2 linked regions of the Mus musculus genome follow. The protein of the gene in region 1 purifies or fractionates together with the protein of each later gene. This does not show direct contact. Links are inferred from orthologs where the notes say so. Each region holds a gene or a part of one and is shown in the gene's direction. Other genes may lie near its edges. The genes, in order: Bbs7 and Bbs4.

Evidence for each region.
Region 2: the proteins of Bbs7 (region 1) and Bbs4 purify together in Homo sapiens (co-immunoprecipitation; 7 studies listed by BioGRID and IntAct, counting the BioPlex papers as one, with this or other methods). This does not show direct contact. The link is inferred for Mus musculus from reciprocal best matches to the Homo sapiens genes BBS7 and BBS4.

Annotation. Positions count from the first base shown.
Region 1 is NC_000069.6:36,603,263-36,607,088, reverse strand, and holds part of Bbs7 (Bardet-Biedl syndrome 7 protein homolog), read left to right. Parts: intron 1-801; exon of another isoform or gene 802-950; intron 951-1,332; coding exon 1,333-1,405; intron 1,406-2,566; coding exon 2,567-2,683; intron 2,684-3,826.
Region 2 is NC_000075.6:59,343,379-59,347,204, reverse strand, and holds part of Bbs4 (Bardet-Biedl syndrome 4 protein homolog), read left to right. Parts: intron 1-1,353; coding exon 1,354-1,405; intron 1,406-3,065; coding exon 3,066-3,145; intron 3,146-3,826.

The DNA of each region.
Region 1 (3,826 bases):
CCATTGTTGTGGAGCAGGCCTGAAATCTCAGCACACAGGAGGTGCAGGCAGGAGAATCAGAAAACCAACATCATCCTTAGCTTTGTAGGGAGTCTGAGATCTGCCCAGGGTATATGAGATCCTGTGGCAAAATATACAAAGTAGGAATGGGCAAGCAACCAGATAGAAGTTACCTAGCTGATTTCTAGATTTTGCTTTGTTTCATAAGAGGCTATCTGTATTCTTATTTATTTATTTATTTATTTATTTATTTATTTATTTATTTATTTGCTTATTTATCGTTTTATTTTTTTCTAGACATGGTATTACCATGTAGCTTCTGTATGGACCAGAACTTTATAGACCAGGATAGCTTCAAACTCACAGAAATCCACAAGTCTCTGCCTCCTAAGTGCTGGGGTCAAAGGTGTGTGCTATCATGCCTGCCTGCATTCTTATTGTTAAAAATCAATCACCAAGGACGTGTGAAAGGAGAGAACTGAACTCTTTCCTTCTGCTGCACTTATCTCTCCTTTCCTGCCTCTGAGATCACTCCATCCTCTGAACTTGCCTCTTTTACAACTGTGCCTGCTCCTTTTTTGCTTGTAGATATCTATAAATTTAAAAATGATTAATAAAGGATACACATATGCCTTTTTCCCAAGTTCTAAATCTACATTAAAATTTTGTAAGTGGCATAGTATATTCACTGAATTATGTAAGTGGCAAAATTGAAAACAAACAAATAAAACACATAGAAGGCGGCCCCAGCTTGTTTTCTTATCTAAGTAGTAGGCAAGTTTGTCCCTGTGCTGCGGTGAGTCTGCAGAATGCCAGAAGGCCGAGCCAGAGTTTTCTTACGAGCAGCTTGGGGTGCTCAGAGTTTTGAGGGTATTCTATGTAAAGCTCCAGATAATAACGGAAAAGACAGAAGAAATGACACTTGTTACTGGTAATGACGCTTGTTACTGGTGAGTTTTAAAAGGGGTTCACTAGTCTGTGGTTTGCAGATAAGCAAACATGTTAGAAATGTCAACACTCCTCTGTCTAGGGGTTCATTAAGTTGTCTGGTCTTGGATCTGGCTATTATGGATTTTCTTTTACTGATGAAATCCAAAGTTAAAAAATGAAAGCTATTGAAAGTAGAGAATATATTATGTATTTTTCTCCTTGGTATATATATTTTATTTCCAGTGTGTTAATATATGCAAAATTATTGACAAACACATTCATATTTATGACCTGTTTTCTTAAAGCATTTTTATTTGTTTAGATATTGATGTTTCTAATCATTTTCCATATTCTTTTAAATGTTTTTCAGTTTCAGTTTTTAAAATTCTTGTTTCCCTTCAGGGATCTGATGTGATGTATGAAATTGAGGTTCCTGGTCCACCCACCGTCTTAGCACTGCATAATGGAGATGGAGGTAATCGCATTCAGTATCACAGCTGGCCATGATGCAAAGCGGGGAGTTGTTACACAGTGTAGTAGTAGTGTGCTCTCTTCCTCTCACTTCCTGCTCAGTTATGAATTAGGAGTCAGTGAGCTTCCTCATCTTGAAGTCACCTGTAGGGAATACGCTTCACCTTGTGACTACATGGTGACGATTTCATTCTAATATCTATAATCATAGAAAGTAGTTACACGGTGTAGGGGAAACATGCTTGGTTCTCTTTGATGACAGACATTGTTGTCTTAATGAGAGCATAGACATGAAGGTCATATCGTTAGGATTCCATAGGCACCACCTCGAAGCAGAGGAATAATAATAGTCTCGAGTTAGAACTTAAGGGCCAGCTTTCTTAGAAAGAAGAAATGCTAGATAAAGTCATTTTAGTTCAGAAAAATTAAGTGTACACCATTGCATACACTAGCAAGATTTTGCTGAAAGGACCCAGATAGAGCTGTCTCTTGTGAGACTATGCCGGGGCCTTGCAAACACAGAAGTGGATGCTCACAGTCAGCTATTGGATGGATCACAGGGCCCCCAATGGAGGAGCTAGAGAAAGTACCCAAGGAGCTGAAGGGGTCTGCAATCCTATAGGTGGAACAACAATATGAACTAACCAGTACCCGCCCCCCCCCCCGAGCTCGTGTCTCTAGCTGCATATGAATTAGAAGATGGCCTAGTCGGCCATCAGTTGAAAGAGAGGCCCATTGGTTGTACAAACTTTATATGCCTCAGTACAGGGGAACGACAGGGCCAAGAAGTGGGAGTGGGTGGGGGAGTGTGTGGGGGACTTTTGGCATAGCATTGGAAATGTAAATGAAATAAATACCCAATAAAAAAAAGAACTTTAAAAAAAATAAAAGAAAAAAAAAAGAAAAGAAAAATTAGGTGTAACCAAAAGGTATTCTGGCATATATGGAATTTTTTTTCTAATTTTTATAAGTTTATTTTTGGATACATAAAACCAAACTATATATGAATGGTATCATGATGTTTTGATACATATATACCTAATATTTCCCCTTTAAAATTTTCCCTTAATGTAGCATTTGAAAAATGAGATTTTTACATTAAGAGGCTTTTAAAAGGCATTTGTGTTTTTGTTTGTAGTTGTATGTTTGCTTTAATTTTCACTAGGTGACTCTGGAGAAGGACTTCTGTTCGGCACATCAGATGGAAGACTTGGGCTTATTCAGATCACAACATCCAAACCAATACACAAATGGGAAATTCGAAATGACAAAAAGCGGGGAGGTAGGCCTCTGCACAGGTCAAGTTATGGCATGTCGGCAATCATTTAGTACAATAGAGTGTGCAATGCATTCTGTTTGATTTAGTTCTATTAGACAGCGAGCTTAGGGATTTACAGAACCACCTCTGATGTACCTAGTGTTTGCTTATGGCAACTGTTATACTATAGATGTAATTTTTAAAATTAGAAATGCTACTTGTAGTTTGGGATAGACATACAGGTTAATACCCTTTAGTCCATGTTAAACCTTTTAACTGGGATAGAGAATTAATTGGAATCTAGGATATAAAGAATGTAGTAGTGGGTCAGAAACTATTGCAAGTTTTTAAAGACATTATATATTTCCAAAGATTTACACCCAACTTGGCAGCCAGTGAGATGTCTCTTTATACGCACAGGCTATTGCTCATCTGTTCAGGTTTCCTTTAGCAGGTACTTCCTGTGGGCGAGAGCGCAGATGCTGGCGCTGTGCTCTCACTGCCCCTGGTCATCTGAAGAGAACACAGAAACAGTGTGTGTAGAGGGATGGTGGGCACAGCTCCTCGTAGACTCAGTGGTCAGAGGAAGAAGGTGCTGGAGGAAAGGCAAATTTGAGCTGAGATTTGAGGAAAGAATATTCTAAGAGGAAGAAAAATGAATAATTGCAAAACCCTTGAGATGGAGGTGAGCTAGATTCATTGGAGGGCAATGGAAAGACCTGTGTGGCTGAGCAGCAGTGTGGCCTGAGGAGAAGATGCAGGAGCAGGGACAAGGACTGTAGGTCCGTAAAGCCTCGGAAGAGGGGACTTCAGGTAGAGTGCAGTGGGTAGTCCTGGGAGAATTGTATGTGGAAGGTTTGACATGGTCAAATGGATCTGGGAAGAAACACACATTAGAAACATCAAGAGCTTGGAAGCTGTTGTAGTTACCATGGTTTATTATAGTTCAGAGCATCCTGGTTCATCCTTCCTATTATGGAAGTAGAAAGAAGAGAAAGTCGGGATATATGTGGAGGCCATGCATGGGTTTGATACAGAGAGAGAAAAGAGTGATGTCAGAGATAGAGCCTGGAGTTGTTTCGTCTGTACAGCTGAGAGGTGTAATTGACTGAATGGAGGCCAACTGGAGAGTGAGCAGTCCTGAAACACTGTAGTAGAGAAGTGAAC
Region 2 (3,826 bases), on another chromosome or scaffold:
AGTTATTCAGGTGCACACTGTTGTATATGTTGAAGGCAGAGGTTGGAGGAGCCTGAGTTTTAGGCCAGTCTGGGGTATACCCTTTAAAATTAAAGTTTTTGTTTTGTAGCTGGAGAGATGGCTCAGTGGTTACAATCATTTGTTGCTCTTGCAGAGGATCCAGGTTCCATTCTCAGCACCCCAGTGATGGCTTACAAACATCCATGACTCCAGTTCCAGGAGATCTGATGCCTTTTCTGATATCTGTGGGCATGAGGCACATACTTGGTGTATATACATGCAGGCAAAACAGTTATATGCATAAAATAATAAATCTTTCAGACACTTTCTTTTATTGCTTCTGAAAATGTTGCAACCAATATTTCCCTCCTTATATTAAGGCATATAAATAGTCTTGCTGTTCTTGTTTTTGTTTTGAGACAGAGTCTCACTTGTATAGCAAGGCTGTCCTAAATATATCAGGTTAACAACTCTGATATCCTCCTGGCTCTGCCTTCCTGGGTACTAAGATTAATGGCACGTGCCACCACAACTGGCCCTTATTGTGGTATATGATGTATAAAATTAGGGAACTGATAAAAGAAAAATCCACTTAAAGATTTTCTAATAAGTTGCAGTGCTAAGTTAGTACAATATCTTCATATCCAGCATCTTCCTCAATTGCTCTGCACCTTATTTCTTTAGCCAGTGTCTCTGACTGCACCTGGAACTAATGATTGTCTAGGCTGGTGATGATGAGCAGTGCTTGTCTCGAGATTACACACATGCTGTGCCCAGTTTTTACTCGGTGCCTGGAACTTGGGTCTTCAAGCCTGTCCCACAGGTTCTTTACTGCCTGAACTGTCTACTGTCATTTTATCAAACAGAGGCCATGGCTGGGGGTGTGGCTTGGAAGATAAAAGGGCTTGCTACCAAGATTGACAAGAGTTAGGTCCTCATGAGGAACCCACATTGCAGAAGGGGACAAAAGATTCTTGAATGATGTCCCCTCTGTACATACATATGCATGTACACACACATACAAATGTTAAAAAACATTCTGATTTGGCTGCTAAGAAGAACATTAAACATCTTTATGAGGTATTTCATAATTTAGTATATTAATATGAGTGTATGTTGTACATTGTAATTTTGGTACTTATAAATAAACATATACTATGCATTAAGCACTGTGGGCAAGTTGGAGAGCTAAAGAATAGTGCGGTATAAGTCATACTCAGAATGCCTCTTTATGTTTCTTCATGTTATGAATTGAATACATGACTGGTGAGTTACTGCTCATTCTTGTTATGTGAATGTGCTTGCAATTAGCACATGGTGCTGCTTTAACACAGTCATCCTCTTTCATTTCAGAAAACTCAGGTTCCTGCATCTGTTGAATCTCAAAAACCTAGGTCAAAAAAAGGTCTGTATTTAATTTTATTTTATATATGTGTCTATACACATGTGTGAATCTGTGTTTGTTTCTGTTTCATGCATACCAGAGCTTTGTAAAGTATGTTAGGAAAACCAGTAATGGTCAAACTCTTTTTTCTCCTTTTTATTTTTCAAAGATCTATTCATTTTATGTATGTGAATACACTGTCACTGTCTTCAGACACACCAGAAGAGGGCACTGTATCCCATTACAGATGGTTGTGAGCCACCATGTGGTTGCTGGGAATTGAACTCAAGACTTCTGAAAGAGCAGTCAGTGCTCTTAACCACTGAGCCATCTCTCCAGCCCCATGGCCCAGCTCTTACACAATGACTAGTTTTTATTTTATCTAATTAGATTTTATTGGCCTGTAATGTATTTAAATGGTTTTTGGTTATTATGTCAGTATTCATTAATTTCTATTTGTGTTATAAACATTACTTTCTTATACAACCTCCACTAATTTTATGTATATATTAAGTAAGTGTTGCATTGACTTTTTGGGGAGCGGGGGGTTCAAGACAGGGTTTCTCTGTACAGCCCTGGCTGTCCTGGAACTCACTCTGTAGACCAGGCTGGCCTCGAACTCAGAAATCTGCCTGCCTCTGACTCCCAAGTGCTGGGATTAAAGGTGTGTGCCACCACTGCCTGGCACATTGACTTTTTATTTAAAAATTTTTGCCTTGAGATAGGGCCTTGCTTTGTGAGCTTCCAGAGGGAAACATGGCATATTTATTTCTAAGATGGGCTGCACCCATTGCTGTTGACTTGGGACACTTTCTATACTTTAGTTCCCAATTACTGGGATTATGGATATTGCATGCTTGGCTAGTGTGCGGTTTTATAAAAATTCATCCTTGGAAGCCTAGTGAAGACCCGGCCTGTGAAGTGCTACATTTTTGGTCTCAGAGGTGATGTATTGTTGTTGATTTAGAGGAACAAGAATCCTCCATCTGCTAACCTGTGACACTTTAGGAGGACTGACTTCAGGTTGTGACTGTCACTGGGGGATTCTCAAGGGCTTTGGATGGGACGTCCTCCTCCTCATCAGATATTAGAGAAATACCGGAATATTGTTAACAAAAAGACATTAGTTCTGCCATCCATAGGGCTGTTTATTTTAATTGAAATGTTTGTGGTGTTAGGGATTGAGCCTAAGACTATGCACATGCTAGGCAGGTGCTCTTAAGCTAGATCCCCAGCTTCCTCTTTTACTTGTTTCAAAACTTCTTTTTTAATGTATGTGTTGGGGTCTGCTGATCCAGTTTCAATCCCTAGGACCCACATGGTGGAAGGAGAGAACCAGCTTCTTCAAATTGTCCTCTGTGTATGCTATAGTACGTGTACCCACGCATTGTCCTCTGTGTATGCTATAGTACGTGTACCCACGCATTGTCCTCTGTGTATGCTATAGTACGTGTACCCACGCATTGTCCTCTGTGTATGCTATAGTACGTGTACCCACACATGGGGAGCCACAAAGTAAATACAATTAGGAAAACAAGATATTTCCATACATTTCCAAATTCCATGAAGAATTTAATGCACTATTGTAATTGCTTGTGGTTGGTTTAGACATGAGAACTCCGCTAAAGGAGAAAATTTAACACTTACTGTATTGTTTGTTTTGCCAAAATATGCTCTCTAGCTCCAGACTTCCCTATTGTGGAGAAACAGAACTGGCTGATCCATCTCCACTATATCCGGAAGGATTATGAAGCTTGCAAGGTGAGAGACAGGCTGGGCAGACAGACACTGTCAGTGTCTACAGCCCCGTGTGGCAGCTAATAGCTTCCTGCTTTAAACATCAGTATTTTAATCTAAACAATATTTTATCTACCAGCCTTGACTATGATCTTGTCTCTTTGTGTGTTTCTATATAGCAAATAGGAGCAGGTTCCTTCCTGCTTACTGTGGGGATTTTCTCATTGTACTCAAACCCTTTAGTATGACACTCTGTCCTCTCTCCCACCCTCTTATTTGCCTCAGCTCCTCTTCTACCCCTTGCCAACACACAGTTTGAAGCTTTTCATTTTGGGAAGCCTTTCTTAATTCTCTTGGGATGGCTGTAGATGCTGCCTTTTGAGAGTAAGTACCTGGGTCTAGTCTGTCAGAGTAGAGAGCCCATGTGATTTGTTCTCTACTGAGAACCACTAGCGTCTGCCATGGTGCTTGAAACTTTTCTCATGTTTTTCTAGCATGCCTAGTTAGATTTTAACTAGGGGTTGAGAAATTTTTTTTTCTGTTATGGATGAGATAGTAGTTTATTTTAAATTTAATTTTTTGAGATGAGGTTTTCCTCTGTATCTTTGGTCGGCCTTGAACTTGCTAACAGGCCAAACTCACAGAGATCCACCTGCCTTTGCCTTCTGAGTGTTGGGATTAAAGGTGTGTGCCTCCATGTCTGGT